3 linked regions of the Notamacropus eugenii genome follow. The main gene of each other region encodes a partner of the protein of the gene in region 2 in a complex. Links are inferred from orthologs where the notes say so. Each region holds a gene or a part of one and is shown on either strand. Other genes may lie near its edges.

Evidence for each region.
Region 1: TAF6 (region 2) and TAF13 share a complex: the UniProt entries of both Homo sapiens proteins name them as parts of the TFIID basal transcription factor complex. The link is inferred for Notamacropus eugenii from reciprocal best matches to the Homo sapiens genes TAF6 and TAF13.
Region 3: TAF6 (region 2) and TAF8 share a complex: the UniProt entries of both Homo sapiens proteins name them as parts of the TFIID basal transcription factor complex. The link is inferred for Notamacropus eugenii from reciprocal best matches to the Homo sapiens genes TAF6 and TAF8.

Annotation. Positions count from the first base shown.
Region 1 is NC_092873.1:287,196,611-287,203,124, forward strand, and holds the start of TAF13 (transcription initiation factor TFIID subunit 13), read right to left. Parts: upstream 3,521-6,514; 5' UTR 3,352-3,520; coding exon 3,325-3,351; intron 1,332-3,324; coding exon 1,253-1,331; intron 1-1,252. UniProt on the Homo sapiens protein: The TFIID basal transcription factor complex plays a major role in the initiation of RNA polymerase II (Pol II)-dependent transcription.
Region 2 is NC_092873.1:80,658,611-80,665,124, forward strand, and holds the start of TAF6 (transcription initiation factor TFIID subunit 6), read left to right. Parts: upstream 1-3,006; 5' UTR 3,007-3,165; coding exon 3,166-3,197; exon of another isoform or gene 3,198-3,282; coding exon of another isoform or gene 3,283-3,305; intron 3,306-6,514. Other genes in the region: CNPY4 (protein canopy homolog 4), read right to left, coding at 2,121-2,253. UniProt on the Homo sapiens protein: The TFIID basal transcription factor complex plays a major role in the initiation of RNA polymerase II (Pol II)-dependent transcription.
Region 3 is NC_092873.1:103,088,667-103,095,180, forward strand, and holds the start of TAF8 (transcription initiation factor TFIID subunit 8), read left to right. Parts: upstream 1-2,267; 5' UTR 2,268-2,323; coding exon 2,324-2,368; intron 2,369-4,113; coding exon 4,114-4,270; intron 4,271-6,514. UniProt on the Homo sapiens protein: The TFIID basal transcription factor complex plays a major role in the initiation of RNA polymerase II (Pol II)-dependent transcription.

The sequences.
Region 1 (6,514 bases), about 210 Mb from region 2:
GAGTTAGACACAATGATGTGTAGGTAAGCTGCAATCTTCACCTCTGGAGGTAGTACCTATATTGATTAGACAGTCACTTATGGATTAAAGAAGTATTTTAAGTTTGTGCCCATTTCCATTTTGTGGTTTGTCAACCATATTAAGATAGAACAGTGTCTAACTTATTTTTAAACAATATAAAGATACAGACTTTGTTTAGTTTCTGTATAACTGGTTTCACGTATTATAAGGACAAACAAAGGGGAACCCAAAGACATTCCTATCTCTTCTCTGCTGACGCTTAAACAAGGGTGGGGAACCTGCAGCATGAACATTTGAGGTCATATGTGACCCTTTAGGTCCTCAAGTGCAGCCCTTTGTCTGAATCCAAACTGCCCAAAACTAATCCCCTTAATAAAAGGATTTATTTTGTAAAACTTAGAGTCAAGCAAAAAGCCCAACCCAAGAACCTAGAAAGCCACATGTGGCCTTGGGGCTAAAGGTTCCCCACACCTGGCACAGACCCTGCTGCTGCCTGGAATTTTCCCCTTAATTCTTTCTCAGCCTGATACCTTTCCCAATGCGTGCCTTTCCTGGCTATCTTCACACAGTTATATAGGAAGCATGAAGATCAGGGTAGGGGAGAGGTATGTTCCTGATATTCAAAGCTTGAATTCTAAATGCTTTCTTACAGAAGTATTATTATCAAGGATGGGTATTACTACCAAGGGTGGTTAAGTTGGCATCACTGAGGTACATTATGGGCAAGACAATTTATGATTTTGTTGTGGGTGAATTATAAACCTTCTATAATTAAGAATACAGTTGACAGTTGCTATGGCTGAAAAAAATTAATCATCCAGTGGACAATCTGGTGATAAGATTCTCTAAACTTACCTGAACTGGTCTTTAAATAACAGGCATACAATCTATTTTCAGACCTGTACATGAAGGCTTTGTAGCTTGCTAGGACCTACCAGAGCTTACAGTCCACTGGCACAGCTTTCAAGAAGTGAGGATTGCCGTCATAAAATAATGGGTCATCACAGCAAGATATTAGTGGAGTACATTAGAAGTCAAATAGGCTTTTATAGATGGCTTGAGACCTGTAAATCACTATTTATAGCATAACTTCTAAGGAAAGATTCTTTTTGTTCCCAGCAACAAACTAGTAACTTATAAAGCACAACCCATTTTTAATTTAGAGAATGCCTATATATGTTCATCTTCAATGCATGACATCCACAATCAAAATACTAAATATAATACTTACATTCTTTAGAGAAAAGTCTTTTCCTTTTACCCTGTCCACCATCTGCTCCTCCTCCTACATCTTCAGTATCTTCCTCAAACTAGAAGAGTTTAAAGAATTGAGATAAAGAAGATTTTTTAAATGTTTAATAAAAAATTTATTTTCAAAAATGAACTAAAATTGGAAGGCATCTAATAGGTCATGGATGCAAATAACCATTTCTATATCCACACAGAAATCTCTTTACAATGTAGAACCCTAAAATCCTGAAACTAAATACAATAAGCCTTAATTTGGTGAACAAATGGTTTACCCAGCTGTTGCATGAGTGAAGGGAAGATTAGAATGTAATAGGGCTATTCATTTTCCTGTTGAATAGTTAAATGTATTTTGTAATAATGAGAAAAAAATAACATACACATAATGCTATATAAACAGCTAAAACATATGTGCTTTATATACATTAGCTAATGTGGAGAGATGAAGGATTTGGGTGACTTCATCTATCCAAGTAATTCTTGGTGTAGAGACTCCTTGTTTTACTAAAGTAGGTTAGTGACTTATCTCGTGTAACTTAATGAATAGAGAACTGGCTGGGGTACTGAGATTAGGTTAAATGACCTGCCCACAATTACAGTCAGTGTGTACAGTTTTCCCTTTTTTTCAAAAAAAATTTTTTAAATCTGTCTCTTAACTTTCAATCATTAATCTTGTTTTGTCCTCTGCAGCACAAAAAAAAGTCTTTTTTTTTCCTGAGTGCCTTTCAAATCTTTGAAAAGAGCTATCCATGTCTTTCCTTAGTTTTCCCTAAGCAAAGCACACCAAGTTTTCAAACTTTCCTTTTATGGCAGTGATGTACTGGAAAGTACAGTGGACTTCGGAGTCAGAAAACTCCCAAGTTTTCTGGCTTTGCCTTTTACTATGTGCTCTTAAGCAAGTCTTTCTGTCATCCTTAAACTAAGGGTACCAGATGATATCTAAGCTCCTTCTGTCATTTTATGCAAACCATTCCAAACCTCTCACTATTCTTATCACTTTCATCTAGATGAATTCCCATCTGTTGATGCCCCTCTTAAAATAATGTGGTTGAAACTAGGATATCCTAGGTTGAATATCTTGTCGTCTAGATGAATTCCATACAATTTTAGAGGTCGGGCAGTCCTCAGAAATCATCTAGTCCAATACTCTCATTTTGTAAAGGATGAAACTGAGACCTTGATATGCTAAATGAATGTTTCACGGCCAGAGAGGGAAACTCAAATCAGAAAAGAGTTCTCCTGATTCCCACAGGTTTACAGTCAGAAACAACATTTAGTATCATCTCCGAATAATGCATATACACAGAGGCTTTTAAGATTAAAAGGCTTTTTTTTCCCACAATGATCCTGGCAGGGAATTATCAAACAACCAACATTCATTCATTATTCTGCCTGTCACGTGCTAGGCACTGTGTTTGACGCTAGGGATGTGAAAGCAAAAATGAATAGTCTCTACCCTCAAAAAACTTAGGTCCCATGGGGGGAACAGATAACTTGTGCCTATACAAATACGTTCAAAATATAGACACAAAATACAACACACTAGCAGGGGATCCGAAAAAGCTTTAATCAGGAGGTAGCTGCTTAATTCAAGTAAATACTATAAGTAACGTCTTTCCCTTTATGTAGAGAAAGAAAGGAGTTCGTTCAAAGCCCAAAGGAGTTAAAAGAGACTCGGCCAAAATCACGCGCCCTTGGACTCCACAAATACACCGGGTCTTTTCCACGACACTGAGAACAGAAAGAGTATCGCGGCTTTCGGCGGCCTCTCCCCACGTCTGTGGGCAATGTTGTGCAGGCATCACTGACTGCTGGGGCATTTTTCTACGCCGCCCGCACAAATCCAGTTCCACAGTGAACCGAGGGAGAAGGGGTAATGTGGAAGCCGGGCACGCAGTGCAGAGAAGCGACCGCGAGCTCCCGGGGCTCCCCGGCCTTGGGCCTCAGCACGCTCCCGCCCGCACACGCTTCTAGGCCCTAGCGGCCGGGGGCCGCTGCTCGCTCCGAGCTGCGGAAAGCGGAGAGGAGGTGAGAGAGGGAGGCCTGCTCACTCACAGTAGGGTCCTCCTCCTCATCAGCCATCCCGTCCCCGGCTCCAACCGTCAGAAATTCCTCTCTTGCTCGGAGGGCGGGGGAACTCGCGAGCTTCCGCTTCCGTCCTTCCGCTTCCTCACTTCTTGCTTCCTCACCTCCACGTCAGAACCGCATCATCTGATCGAACCGCTCCTTGCTGCTCGGGAGAAGGCGCGCACACGCGGAAGTAGAAGCACGTCTCGACACGCACGCGCACGCATGCCTGGGTCTCTGATTCGTCAGAGACGAATGGGGAGGGGCTTAGGCGCGTGACCCTCAGTGATTTGAAAAAAATCTCTCAATCAGCCAGTTGTGGATTGGGGGACGGGGAGACTCGGCAGGGATGCGAATATAAAAGCTGGAGAATCCCTCCTTTCCAGTTTAGTGACAAGCAGCAGGAAATCTAGAGGCAGGGTGCCCTGAGACATCCTTGGGAGCCTTCTGTCCCTACACACAAAGTGGGAAATGACCTCCAGGGCGCCGCTGGATGGTGGAAAGATCCCGGACTTGGGTTAGAGCGGAATAACGGGGTGCCCAGGAAAGACTAGCATTTTCAGAACTATCCATCCACCTTTGGAGCCCACCTTTTACCTGGGACGCCATGAGCAGCGCCTGTTCGGGGTAGCTGACCCCTCCGATGACCCTCAGTGAGTTACGTGAAGGCCTACCCTGGTGCAGCCCGAAGAGGAGAGCAGTGTGTTCCAGCTCTCAGGAAGGTGGCTGAAGCAGACCCTGTGGAGGCCTTAGAGCTGGGTCAGACATCAGAGACGCCAAGGTCACCCGCTGCATAGCTAGTCCTCCTGACTTTTGTCTTGCGGCTGGACTTGGATGACTCTGGAAGAGAGAGTGAGGCTGACCACTTTATGCAACTCTGCCTCACTTAAATCCAGTTTACTCCTAAGTCAAGACGGCAGAAGTCATCACCGCCATGATGCCCCTGGTCCTTTTCAAAAGGGAAGGATGGACCACCTAACAATAAGGGGAATGCATACAGATAGCTATAAAACTGGCAATTGCAAATACGAGTAGTAGGAGTACCTGGAGAAATTTGAGGGGAGAGAAATCCCTTTCAGACTGGAAAGTAATGTGTGCGGGTGAGAGCTGTATTTTCTGCAGCTTGAAAAAAATAAAAAGTAAAGGCTTGTTTTGGTTTGTTTTGAGAAAGGTAATTTGGGATTGCATTTTTTTATCTGACTTGGAGAAGAATTGTAGAGAGACTTCTACATTCCCATCAAGAAAGTTCCAATATGAACTTAGAGAAGTTCTTTACCACTTTGTCCTGTAAGGCAGGCTAGGTGGTATGTAGTGCAAGACTCAGAGTGGGGAAAACCTGAATTTGAATGCTGCCTCAAATACTTAAGTTGTATGACACTGAGAAAGTCGCTTGCCTTCTCTGTTCCTCAGTTTCCTCATCTGCAAAATAGCCTCTACTTGCCAGGATTGTTGTGAGGTTAAAATGAGATCATATATGTCAAATACTTTGCAAGCCTTAATGCACTATGTAAATTCTGTTATCATTATTTCCCTGAAAGTTACAGTTTCCATTTATGCTCCTAATTTTCTGTCTTTGTGTATATTTGCACGTGTCTTTTACCTATTAGGTTGTTGTTCAGTCACTTCAGTCATGTTTGAGTCTTCATGACTTTGTGTAGAGGTCTTTTGGCAAAGATGCTGGGGTGGTTTGCCATTTCCTTCTGCAGTTCACTTTACAGATGAGGAAACTGAGGCAAACAGGGGGAAGTGACTTGCTCAGGTCACATAACTAGTAAATGTCTGAGGCCAGATTTGAACTCAGAAACATGAGTCTTCTTAACTTCAGGCCTGGCACTGTACTTCACCACCTAGCTGCCCACTTGTTATATATCCTAATTCTAGTCTTCTGATCCTTAAGATATGTGACTCTTTTTAACGTAAGAAGATGTAAAACTATTTTAACAAAAATATGTGTTTTTGTATATTCATAATATGAGAGGTAGTACAATATAGTGGAGAAAGTGGCAACCTAGGGTTCAAGATGACCTGAATTTAAATTCCCCTGACATTTACCTACTATATAACCTATCAGTGTCCCAGGCTATTTTCTAAGACTATAAACTGACGAATAGTTGCTTGTCTAAATTGAGAGAGTTTCTTCACTGTTATCTCCCTATGCTCTCAGATGAAATCATATGTCTGGGACCCCCCAAAAAGTATTTACCTATACATGTATGCATGTATATGCATATATATGCATATATGTATATATACATATATGTATCTATAACAAATGTATATGAGTTACTATTAGAAGGTAACTAATGTCTTCAGGCAAAGTAACTATCTGATCTAATTACCATTTTTACCAGAAGTGATCAAGCACTCACAATAAGAATTTGTTAAGTCTCAATCATGTGCCAGGCACTGTACTAATCACTGGGGGAATGCAAAGACCGAGGAAAAACAGCTCTGCCCCTCAAGGAACTCCCATTGTAGTGGGGAAGACAAGATGCACCTGAATAGATACATAGAGATAGCCCAGTTGAAAGGTAACCTTGAAAGTTTCTAGCAGCTGGGGAGTGAGAAGGGAGGATTGGGAAAGTTCTACTACCTAAGATGAGATTTGAGTTGGATCTTAAAGAAAGCCAGGAAAATTAAGGCATAGGTGAGGAGAGAGGACAGGCATTCTAGGAATGAAGGATGGGCAATGCAGAGATGTGCAGTGAGGAGCTGGAACGTGATATGAGGATATGAGAAAAATAGCAAGTGTGGGTCCACATAGCCAGATTTTAGAGGATGTGAAGAGGAGTGAGGTGTAAGAAGATGAATGATAGGAAGGGGCCAGGTTATGAAGATCTTTAAAAGTCAAAGAAATGACCTTATTATTTGATCCTGGAGCTTAAAGGGATCCACTGGAGTAGGTGGGGGTAATGATCAGACCTCCTTTGAGGAAAATCACTTTGTTAGCTATGTGCAGGGTGGACTGGAATAAGGAGAGCCTTGAGACAGGGACAGTAACTAGAAGGCTTTTGCAGTAGTCTTGGTGAAGGTGAGGAAGGTCTAAACTATGGTGGTAGCTGTGTGAATAGAGACAGAAGACCTATGGGATAACTTTCTCATGACCTGCTCCATCTCATCTGAGTAAAGAGATGGTCATATCCTTGATCTGACCATTACCTACAAGTGTATTGCTTTC
Region 2 (6,514 bases):
AATATCACCTCCCAAATCTGTTGTAAGGATAAAATGAGATATTTGTAAAGCACTTTGTAAATAGTAACACCATATAAATGCTACTTATTATTATTAATATCAGTAATACCTTTAGCATCCTACTCTGAAGCTTCATGGTGGTTCTGGGCTCTTGAAGACCATGCTGGTAAAGTACAGCCTTGGTAACAGATGATATAAGTTTGTTATCCAAGAACTAGCCTAAGTGAGAAGAGGCCATAATGTTGACTATCAGGAGAAGTATTCCCCCTCCCCCCCATAACTTCTTATGAAGACCACTGATTAAAGGGGTGTGTTGGGGGGAGTGGGTTGCCTTTTGCATAAAGTGAAGGGCCACACTTATGAAATGAGATCTTCTGAAACAATGTATTACATCAGTAACACTGAGTTCATCAGGGAAAAAGATGCTAGCTGTGTAGCCACAGGCAAATCAGTACGGGATGAAGTCCTTAGTGCTCACAACTTCTGCACAGTCCAAAACTGTTTGGGAGTATCCTTCCCAAACATTCCCCAGTTAGGCAACATGACAACTACCTTTGTTCTTCCTTGCTAGTTTATGGGCATCAAGGAGTGGCTGAATCACCTTCTCCTTCCAAGGCTCCTTTAATTTGGAAGCTTCCAAGCTGGGGTGGGACAGGGCAGGGTGTTCACAACTGCTGCCATGCGAATTAAAAGATTTCTAAGGTCCTTTCCAGCTCTAATATGATTCTTTAAACCCCACTTTCAGCTTGGTAGGCCTGAATTACAGTTTATATCAGTTTTAAGGCATGGGCTCAGAGGCACCAGAGTTTTACATTTGAAAAAACTGTGATTTTGTCCAGGTGGGAAATACTCCCTTTATCAAAGCAGAACACAACCCCTTTGTACCTCAGTAGTTGATCTTTATGAGTTGCTGGGTTGTAAAAAATCATTACTGGGCCAACCTGGTAATAAACTTCTCCCAATTTATCTGGGCTGGTCCTTTGATGAAAGGCTAAGAGTTCTTTCCTGGATGTGATTGAAGCCTTTGGACAACAAGTCCCCCTCCTCCTAGCTCAAAGTGAATGTAAATAGTAAATAGAAACTGTTTCTCTTTTGGCCAGGAATCCCAAGGGTCTTCCCCTCCCAGTTTGGTTTTCTTTTGTTTTTTGAGAATCTGAAAAGACTTTAGCCTAAAAAGGCCAGTGTCTCTCATTGCATCCTGGGCCACCTCCAGTCCTCTGGATGGACAGATGGCTCTGGAGGACAAAGTGAGGCTGCTGACCTTGCACAGCCCTCCCTCACTCAAATCAAAGTCAACTGCAAGTCATGTCATCATCTCCCTCTGAGAAGAAAAGGCAAATACAACAACTTGAAGCCTTTCTGGTTTGGTAGAGCTTCCTACATTTTAAATTCCACCTGCATAGCCTTCAAAAATCCATCACTGCTCCAATAAGACACTAGAACTGGGTTTCGGTGGAAGCTGGAGGCTGGAGTGGCGAATTTCCCTGTTCATGAACCTAAGGACCACAGGGACCACTTGCGCCAGGCTGTGCGACCCTGGGGAAGTCATTCAACCCTGTTTGCCTCAGTTTTCTCATCTGTAAAATGAGGTGGAGAAGAAAATGGCAAACCACTCCAGTATCTTTGTCAAGAAAACCCTAAATAGGGTCACGACTGAACAACAAAGCAGTGTCAGTATTTATTTAGAGCTTTAGTTGACCAAGTCCTTTATGTCTACTTAGCCTCACAACAGCCCGGACAAGGTAATACGACCTTTACCATCACCATTTTACAGGTAAGGAGAGGAGGGCGCAAGGGAACCCTAAGGGGCTCTGGTCAGCAAGTGACGGAGCCTACATTCCCCCCCAGGTCCAATCCCCCTAATTCCCAGAGTCCGGCAGTGACGGGAAGGGGAATACCAGCCACGCGGCTCCATAGGCGGCATGCGGACCGTGCCCATTTTGCGGATGGGTAAACAAGCTCAGAGAGGAGAAGCGCTTTGCCAGGGGCCACACAGCGAGGATCAGTCTCCATCCCGCCCCCGCTTTTCCCTCTACAAACGTCGTGCCCCTCCCTGTCTCAGAGCCCATCCGAGCTGGCCCGGGAGCACAGGGCGCATCCTCGGTGGATGCCCAGGGTACCTTCGCATTTGCTGGGTAGGTGCTCCTCCTCCTCCTCCTCTTCTTTTTCCTTTGGCTTCCCACAACAGCTCTTCAATACAAGCAGGAGGAAGCAAAACAGCAGCAGCTGTCGTCGCTGCCACCCCTGTTCCATGTTCAGCTACCGAGCACCAACCTCGGACAGCGACGACAAAGGAACGATTTTTTAAAAAGCCAGGTTGCAAGTAAACTGGCCCTTTAAATCCAGCCTGGCATGTCGCGAGTACGCGCTTTACCAAGCTGAGGGTGAAGGACCGCGCAGACTCAGAGCGAACGCGCTTGGACTCCTCCCCCCTCCGCTTCCCCCCCCCCCCCCTTAGGTTCACCTACTGCGCAGGCGCCGCGCAAGCGCCAGCACTGTTTGTCACCGTCCAGGTCCTAGATGTGGCGAAGCAGGACGAAAAGAAGTGGGGAAGCGGCTAAGGCAGAGAGCGGAGTATATTCCTTTTGTCCATGGGAATGTGGAAGAGACCCTTTTGTGGAAGCTGTTGGCAGAGGAAGATTTTTCCGGGTTGAGGCGGCGGGCTGAAGGGTCTTTGACCTGGCTCTGCCAGGACCTGTGAGGAAGTCTAAGGTACTGCTAGGACCCGCCGAAGAGGCAGAGGTTTGAGATGGTGGCTCGCGCCACACGAGCTGCTGTTGGGAGCCGGTGAGGAACCGGAGACAGCACGGGTGGGGGAGCCGGACGTCGGGAGGCATGTCTTCAGGGGCTCGATAGGTGAGCGGCAAGTGGGTATAAGGGGAGGAAAGCGTCCCCAGAGCTTACTGGAGGCTCCCCGTAGGATAGTCTGCTGACTACCGGGACTTTCTGCGCCTGCGCGGGAAGGGGGAGCCGGGGTATTTTTAAATTTTCTATAGGAGTTGTGGAGAGGGAGAGCGATCCTTTTGGAGAATTGGCGAGTTGGAGCGGGCATCCCTTGTGGCAGGTACGAGGAAAATAAAATTTTGGCAAAATTGTATCCTGGCGCCGTGGATAGAGAACTGGCGGGAAGCAGGAAGACCTGTATTCAAGTCCTGCCCACGAAGAATGCTGGCTGTGATCCTGGGCCAGTGCCCTAGGTAACTTTATAAGAGTATCGATGGCAGAGAGAGTTCCACACGCAGTAAATTCACAGGGGAAGTCTTGGTAATAGCCAGAGATCCGATGGAAGAGTGTGTCTCATTCAGGTAGAATTTCTAAATTTCTTCTTTTCCACTCATGACCTTTGTGAGAAAGTGAGGGAGGTGAATTTTCTCATTTCTAATTTGGGATTAGATGTGGTCATTATAACCATATAGCGCTCCAAAAAAGAAAGTGGATTTGGACGGACCGTTTTGTGTTGCGGACAGAGCATGCAAGTGAGTGTGCTCATTTGCCCTCCCTAAAGGTGTGAAACTAGTAGCCGGGGCATAGCTTGCGTTTGTACCTTTTCCTGTCTTATTTGCTATAGACCACCAAGAGATTTAAAGTATGTACTTTAAAAACTAGGGAATCCTGAGCTGTAGGGGTGTTGGTTAATTATGGGGCAAAAATGGTTATTGTTTGAACATTTGGGAAATATATGGGATATTCACCTAAAGTGGGTGTTAAGTCTGGCTAAGGGGACTCAGCCCTTTTATAGGAAGAGTTGTTGAAAGAAAAGGCTAAACCTTAGGCTTTGGGTTTGTTGAAATGATCCTGCTCCCCGTTCTCCAGTCTGGGAGGCAGTAGGTCTCACAGCAGAGGCCCCAAAAGAGCACCCCTGGGAAAGCTGAGAGTCCTAGGGTAGGGACTCTCTGAAAGAGTGCAGACCTTAGCCTTGTTTAGCTGTGTTCAGCTAAATTCAGTGCTAGAAACAATAGCTGCTCATTGAGGAGCTTCCTGTTCCCAGTCAGGAGCAAACTCAAGGTAGGAGTGGAGCTGCCTTTCCCGGGCAGCTGCCAAGCCCATCGGTGGGTAGAGTGGTGGAAGGACCTAAGTGCTCAGCTGTGCTGAAGGATGAGTTGTGTGGACTCTCAGTTTCTGCTCACTTTTCCCACGAGGTATCGTGGTTCAAATACAGGCTCAGACACTACCTGTGTCACCTCTTTTTGTCTGTTTCTTGTGCTGTGAAGTAGGGATAGGAGAATCAAATAAGATACCGTTTGTAAATCACAATGCCTGACGCGTAGTAGGAGCTTAATAAATTCTTCCTTCCACCTTTTCACCTGCGTTTTCCTGTGTGTGTAGGAAGTGTTTTGTAGCTACTTGGTTTTACAATGTCAGCTTAGTAAATGTCTTTGCTTTCACCTAATTGTAAGCCCACTGGTGAGAGTTTCTGGGCTAGGGTTTAGGGTTGTGAGCTTGGGGTGCCAGGCCACAGAGTAGTGTACTCTTTGGACTCAACATAGCCAGTCATCCCTCCAAGGAACCAACCTTAAAGTGCAAGTTGGGGATAAGGTAGCTCCTGAAGGAGGGGCTATTCATTGAGGCTTTGTCCAGGTTATATTTGGATCCCTTGTACATTCTGAGACTATCTTTCTTGGATGCCCTAATATTGCAAGAGAAAAAAGATCATATTCTTTTGTTTTAGGTTGTAATTGTACAATCATTTTTCTGTTATGTTTCCTTTCAAAGAAACTGACCCAATTTGTAGATGAGAATTTAGCCACACAGAAGTTTAGTGCTAATGATATCTGTTGTCTTACTCTATCCATTAAGAATGTGAAAGCAGAAACATAATAGTATGCAGGTTGCTTGGAATATTGATTTGCCTAGAGCAGTAGTGTCAAACTCAAATAGAAACAGTTGATTAAATTGTATATAAGTATCCCTGTGGGCCAAATATTGATTTAATTTTAAAGTGGTATGTTTGACACCTCTGGCCTACGTAGAGCACATTGTAGAAGTACATTCATGTTAATTTTTAAAATGATACTTTTGAACAGAGCAGATCTGGATGTTTGCCTTATTGAGGCATGAGTCTGGACAACTTGTCTACAGATCCTTTATTGGACTACAGGTAAATAGGAATAAGATTTTCCTGACAGCCTAGGAACCCTGAGTAATCCACCTTAAAAAGTTAACACCTTCTTAAAAGCCTGGGTGGGGTTCTTTTGGAATGATTTGATTTCCTTTTTAAGAAACTCATTTGCCTGTCCAAGTGAAGGAGGGTCAGTTCAGACTACTGCATTTGGAATGCTGTATGTGTTGCAGGGACCTGTTGGAAATATTAAAATTTTTATGAGTTGGGGACTCCTAAAAGTTGCTGACTCGTAGGGGACTCTTGGGAGTGGGGGTTCAGAAGACAGAGTGTCATAAATAATTGGAGATGTATTGGGGAAAAACAGTTTCTCTGGGAAGACAAAATAACTTATTTGTAAATTCATTTAAATTCTATAAGCATTTATTAAGCACCTACTCTGCCAGTTAAGGGCAAATAGGTTAGCACAGTGTATTGAGTGCCAGCCCTGGAGTCAGGAGGATCTGAGTTCAAATGTTGCCTCTGGGCAAGTCACTTTAACTCTGTTTGCCTCTTCTGCCTCATCCTCATCTGTAAAATGAGGTGGAAAGAAAAATGGCAAACCACTCCAGTAACTTTGTCAAGAAGACCCCAAACGAAGGGCAGCTAGGTGGTGCAGTAGATAGAGAACCAGCCCTGGTGTCAGAAGGACCCAAGTTCACATCTGGCCTCAGAAACTTCACACTTAGTAACTGTGAGCCCGGCCTAATCACCTCATCCTGATTGCCTCCCACCACCCTCCATAAATATAAGAAAACCCCAAATGGGGTCATGAAGACTTGGATGTGGGCAAATTGACTAAACAGCAGCAAGAAACTATGCCAGGTACTGTGCTCGGTGCCAGGGAAAGAAATATCAAAATATGAAAAGGAGTGTTTGGGATGATATCAAGGTTATTAGGTAGAAGCTCAGGATGAAGAGCCTCCTTTTAAAAATTTTTTAATTTAAATTTTTATTTAATTTTTTAAGTGAAATACTGGGACTACTGAAAAGATTGGGGTGTGTGTGTGTGTGTGTGTGTGTGTGTGTGTGTGTGTGTGTGTGTGTAATGATGACATGACTTTCCAATGATTTGGACCAGGTCCTCCATGTACTTAGGTTGAATAATTTTAACTGGGTCATTATTGTACCACAAGGGGCAGCTAGGTGGTTCACTGGATAGAGCACCAGTACAGGAGTCAGGAGGACCTGAATGACATGACTTTGTTTTGAGTCCGGGAGGGCTGTGCAGGTCACCAGCCTCACTTCCTCCTCCAGAGCCATCTGAATCCAGTGACCAGTTATTCATCAGGATGACTGGAGATGACCCAGGATGAGGCAGTTGGGGTTGAGTGACTTGCCCAAGGTCACACAGCTAGTGAGTGTCAAATGTCTGAGGTGAGATTTGAACTCAGGTCCTCCTGACTCCTGTACTGG
Region 3 (6,514 bases), about 22 Mb from region 2:
AAAAGGTTGGACGAAATCACCTCAAAAGCCCCTTCCTGCTCTGAATATTATGGTCCTAATAATAAAGTCCCTTCTAGTAGGAATATTCTGCGGTTCTGTGGAGAAAGGGATTGATCTCTAAACCCTAGAATTGCTGTAGACTTCGTTGTGAAGGGGTGGAGCTCTTGTTAGTCACTGAAGCTTTAGTAACCTCTAGGACTCAGGGCAAAAGGTTTGGGATCCAAAAATTCTTGTCTCTTGACTGCTGGCGAAGGGTGTGGTTTCCTAACAATGAAGTGGAAAAAGCCTTGGAAATCTGGATCCCTGCACTTTGTGCATTTCACTTCTTCCAGATCTCGATTTCCAATTCTGTAAAAAGGGGGGGGGAGAGGAAGGGCTGAACTAAATTATGTCAAAGATCCCACTAAAGCAGAGGTATTTAAAAATATATATATATATTTGGTATTTTATTTTCCCTCAATTACACGTGAAAACAACTTTTAACATTCATTTTAAAAATTTCGAGTTTCAAATTCTCTCCCTTCCTCCTCATCCTGCTCATTGAGAAGGCAAGCAATTTGATATAGGTTATCCATGTGTAGGCATGCAAAACAATTTCCATACTAGTCATATTGTAAAAGAAAATATAGACCCCAAAAAAAACCCTTCAAGAAAAATAAAGTAAAAAAAGTCTCTGTATTCTGAGACCATCAGTTCTTTCTCTGGGGATGGATAGCATTTTACATCCTAAGTTCTTCAGAGTTGTCTTGGATCATTGTGTTACTGAGAATAGCTAAATCATTCACAGCTAATCATCTTACAGTATTTCTGTTACTGATGGGGTACAGGCTCTAGGAACCTGCTTGAACGCTCTTTGAATCTTCCCACTTGATTTGGCTTTTCATGCCCAAATTTGTTATGCTTAACCTAGCCTAGCCCTCCATTGGCTAGGACCCTCCTTAAACCCCATCTGTAGTTACTGGTTACATCTCTAGTTACTCTGGAGTTCTTGGCCAACTCTAGATCTCTCACACAATCTTTCTGTATATAAGATTCATCTTGCTTCCATGAAGGCGTTCAGATTCAATCTAGCTCACATTGTATCTGGCCCAATTGTCAATACAAGAGTCACAAATGCTCAGATTCCTTAAGAGTCTGTTCAATATGGCCAATCTTAAAAAAAAACAAAGCAACTTTGTTTTTCTTTGGCTGAAAGAAGGCTTGAGTCAAATTCATTTGGGCAAGACCCTGCTATTTCTGTGGGAGCACCCCTAAACCTCAACATTACTGAGTACACTATTCCCCTGGTTCTACTCATTTAACTCTGCATCGGTTCATGTAAGTCCTTCCAGGTTTCTGAGTGCATCCTGCTCATCATTTCTTATAGCATAATAGTATTCTATCACAATCACATAACACAACTTGTTCAGCCATCCCATCAATTTCCAGGTCCCTGCCATCAGAAAAGAGTTGCTACAAATATTTTATTTACATTTATAATATATAAATATATTTATTTATAAATATTTGTGCACATAGGTCCTTTTCCTTTTTAAAATCTCTTTTGGTATACAGACCTAGTAGTGGTATTGCTAGGTCAAAGGGCATGCCTGGTTTCATAGCTCCCTAGACAGTTCCAGATTGCTCTACAGAATGATTTTATCAGTTCGCAACCCCAACAGTGCACCAAAGTCTCAGTTTTCCCACGTCCCCTCCAACGTTTCTCCCCCTCCCCCTCTGTCCTGTTACCCAATCCAATAGGTGTGAGGTAGCATCTCAGAATTTTTTAATTTAGCAGAGATGTTTTAAACCTGGGGTTCATGAACTTGGTGGTTTGTTTTTAACATGATTATCTGTATTTAACTTAATTGGAATCCTTTGTATTCTTACGCACTGAAAAACATGATTCTGAGAAGGGGTCCTTAGATGTGCCTAAAGGGTCCGAGATACACAAGAAGGATTAAGAATTCCGTGCCCCAAGTCCAAAGCCTGTGATCCTGGGACACTGAGGTGTCTCTGCTCCAGGAGGCTATGAAGCTGCTGGGGTTTCAATGGTGAACGAAACACATCTAAGCTCCCTTTTCCTGCTGTCACCTGAGGGCGCATTTCCCAGGCTTTAGGCTCCTAGTGGTCTAACAAGCCAGCGTGCACTCTATCCTCTCGTGTAAGGCCACGTGAAGTCACGGACTCTGGTCACACCCACCACAACGCCCATCTTTGGAAACTGGAGCTGTGAGCCCGACCCCTCTCCCTCCTCCCTCCTATCCCTGCACCGCCCCCGCTTCCCCCTAGGACTACAGTTCCCAGGCTGCCCTGCGCACATGCACATTCTCAGGTATTCAAGATGGCTGACACAGCTGCAACTGCCGGAGCCGGTAGCTCAGGAGCGGTAAGAATCAGAGGGCGTGGGTCAGGGGCATGAGGACTTAGTCCCTGGCCTCAGCAAAACGGAGCAGCGCGAAGATTGGGGGGTCTCTGGAGTCAGTTCCCACACCGAGCCACTCTGGCCGAGGCAAAGGCCTCCCCTTCCAGTGTACCCCTCCCCCCACCTCTTCTAGCTCTTGGCCGCTCGAGTCCTCAATTGGCTAGTTCCCAGTAGGAGGCGGGGATTCCGGAGAAAGCGTCTAATTGGCTCAAGCTGCCCTGCCTTCTCTCTTATTGGCCCGATTTTTTGCCAATCGAAAAACCAGCTGGTGGGGGATTTAAAAGAACATTTCAGCGTCCTTCTTGTTATAAAAATCTGTTTGCAACGGTGCGAGTTAAACCACTTGGCCCTGTGACAGCTGAGAAGAATAATTCCTGTTTTTGCTATTCAGTTAAGCTCTTCCGTGACCCCATTAGATACTGGAGTGGTTTGCCATTTTCTTTTCCAGCTCATTTTACAGATGAGGAAACTGAGGCAAACAGGGTGAAGTGACTTGCCCAGGGTCACACAGCTAAAAGTCTGAGTCATGATTTGAACCTCTTTTCATAACATCAGAGACTTCTAGTGCTTGGAGGGAACATAGAGGCAATGAAATCCTTTTACAAAGTGTTTCTCATCGTATGTGAAATGAGGAGCTCTGAGACTGAAGGAGAGGAGTCGTTCTGGGGCTGGTTGTTGTCCTTTGTTCTCAGAGAGGACCAAAGTGACATCACTGTGCTAGAGTCAAGCTTAGATGTGTCCGACTATGGCTGACCAGACCAGTACAAGCTCGGAATGCTCTACCGCAGATCAGACACAAATAGTCCATGTGAACATTTGGGGTGGATAGTCTGAATTTGTGCATCCTGAGTTTCCTTCGAGCGCTTTTAATTCTGCTTTGCTCATAGAGCACAGCACCTTCTCTGATGTGGGAATGCCATGCTGAGTGTTCCAGTGTCAGTATCTCCTCGTGTGTCTCCCACCTTGAGGGTGTCCTTGTATCGCTTCTTCTGACCACCGTATGAATGCTTGCCCTGTGTGAGTTCTCCATAAAAGTCTTTTTGGCAAGCATATGTTTTGCATTTGAACAACGTGGCCAGTCCATCAGAGTTGCACTGTCTGAAGCAGAATATGAATGCTTGGCAGTTTAGTTTGAGTAAGAACCTCAGTGTCTGGTACCTTATCTTGCCAAGTGATCTTCAGGATCTTCCTAAGACAGTTCAAATGGAAGCGATTCAGTTTCCTGGCATGGTGCTGGTATACTGTCCAGGTTTCACAGGAATTCCACAATGAGGTCAGCATAACGGCTCTGTAGACCTTCAGTTTGGTAGTCAGTCTAATACCTCTTCTCTCCCATAGATTTCTTCGGATCCTCCCAAACACTGAGCTAGGTCTGACAATTCATGCATCAACCTCATTATCAGTGTGTACATCCCTGGAAAGAAAAAATTTTATGAAGACCTGGAGGCCCTTATTCTGGGGTATACATTGAGGGAAGGAATCATTAGCTTCCAGGGTTCAGCACTTCTTGAACACTCAGTGATTAAGCTAGTTAGCCAGAAGCACAAGTCAGAATGGCAGAGTTGCTGCATTTTAAAAGGGAGGTGTTGGTAGGCATTTATCATTCATTTCCCATCTGTCATGGGTGGTCAGTTTTATATTCTTAGAGTATGTGATTTCACCTTTAATATGTAAACTAAAACCATGCTCTCTTTTGTTGATTCATATAGAGATCAGGAAGCAAGCAGGCCACCACCCCTGCAGACAACTACTACCTGGCACGCAGGCGGACCTTGCAGGTAGTTGTGAGCTCCTTGCTGACAGAGGCTGGGTTTGAAAGTGCTGAGAAAGCATCGGTGGAAACATTAACTGAGATGTTACAAAGCTGTGAGTATGGAGGATACTAGCTGCTTTTTGCAAAGTCAGTCCATTAAATTTTTTTGAAAGTTAAATACCTACCTCCATGAAACTTCCTTGTGGTGGAGGTTGCCTTGAATTCTCAATGGTTTTGCTGATGGATTATAAACTTTTGCAGTTCTCAGAGTTTTCAGATATGAGCTAAGCAATGAACTTTGGTCCAAGAATGTACTTATTAAATTTGGATATACTCAGCAAAAGTTTGGTCAACAGATAATTTATTTTTCTCTAACACAGAAGCTTATGAAGCAGCTAAGACTTAGTGAATGAATGAACAAATACACTTTTTTAAACATTTGCTATATATGTTAAACACTCTGTTAAGCACCAGGGATACAAATACAGAAAAGTAAGGCAGTTCTTGCCCTCAAGAACTTACATTCTGTAATAAGTGAGATAAGTGGGTTCATTCTGTATTTAAAGAGGAGAGTGGGCAGTTAAAGGAGTTTTGGTCCAGGGAGTTACTAGAATGCTGAGTTGATCCGTAGGGCAGTCAATTAATATGCCCTTTCCAAAAGCTTTGGTATTATTGATTACTTTTCCCAGATCAAGAAGTGGAAAAAGAGGAATGGGGAGGGTATTTGTGCATTGGCAGAGTAGTTGGCAAGGTGGCCTTTGTGGACGGCTGGATGGAATACAAAGCATAGCCTAATTTGGGCTTTTCTGGGGCTGTGCAAATATCGTAGGGAAGGCAAATTTATATTCACTCAAGACATTTCAGCCTGTGAATAGAAATTCCAAAGCGGAGTAATTTCCGCAAGAATTGGGGTCATGGATTCTAGAGTGCAGAGGTTGCTGCTTTTGGTAGGGAGAAATGAGGTGACAGGACTGATCAGTAAGAAAGCATTTATTAAGCATCTTCTAAACACCAGGTGCAGTGCTAAGTGCTGCATATACAAAAGAGGCAAAAGATAGTCCCTGCCCTTGAGGAGCTTATACTCTAATGGAGGAGACAACATATAGACATGTATAGACAAACTTCATACAGGATAAATAGGAAATAATTAAATAAATAGAAATAGGAACAAGATAAATAGGAAATAATTAAAAGAGGGAAGTGCTAGGGTTTAGAGGGTTGGGAAAGACTTCTGTAGAAGATGGGATTTTAGTTGAAGCCAAGGAATCCAGCAGGTAGAGGTGAGGAGGGAGAGCATTCCAGGTGTGGGGAACAGTCTGAAAAAATGCCCAGAACCAAGAGATGAGTGTCTTGTTTGAGGAACAGCCAGGAAATCAGTGTCACAAGATTGAAAAGTACAAGTTGAGTAAGGTGTGAGAAGACTTAAAAGGTTAGGGATGGAGGACAGGTTTTGATTCTGAAGGTGAGAGGGAGCTAGTTGAGTTTGTTGACTAGGGAGGGGACATGGTCAGATGTGCCCTTGAGGAAAATCATTTTGGCAGTTGAGTGGAGGATTGGAGTGAGGAGAGACTTGTAGCCGTGAGACTCATTACTAGGGCTATTTCAGTAGTCCAGATGTGAAGTCATGAGGGCCTTCATCAGGGTGGGGGCAGTGTCAGAAGGGAGATGTGACGATGAAATTGACAGCCCCTGATTGGATGTGGGAAGGGAGATATAGTAAGGAGTAGAGGATGACAAGTTTGCAAGGGGTGAGAATATAGGGGAAACGATAGTGAGTTTAGTTTGGCCATTTTGAGTTTCAGATATCTACTGGACATCCAGTTCAAAGTGTCTGAAAGGCAGCTGGAGATGCAAAACTAGAGGTCAGCTGAGGTTATGGCATGATAGATAGACTTGACAGATGATAGATAATTAAATCTCAGAGAACTGATGAGATCACTAGGTGAAATTATTGTTGTTCAGCCTTCATTCTTAAAGAGGACCATGAGCTTGATTTGCGTGTGAATTGGAAATGAGTGAGGTAGAGCCAAGCAAAGTCATCAGCCTTATGCTCTCCTCCAGAGTCATTGAAGCCCAGTGGCCAAAGTATAGAGGGAGAAAAGAAGAGGGCCCAGGTTAAATCCCTGTGGAACATCTACAAGTAATGGATCCATCAAAGGAGACTGAGAAGATAGGAGGAGAACCAGAAAAGGATTGAGAAAAGGTCATTAGATTTGACAATTGGGAGACCATTAATAACTTTGGAGAGAGCAGTTTTGGTAGAATGATGAGGTTGCAAGCTGGATTGTAGGGGGTTAAGAAAAGATGGAGAGGAAGTTGGAGGCAAGATAGATTGCTAGGTAGCTTGAGTGGGTAAC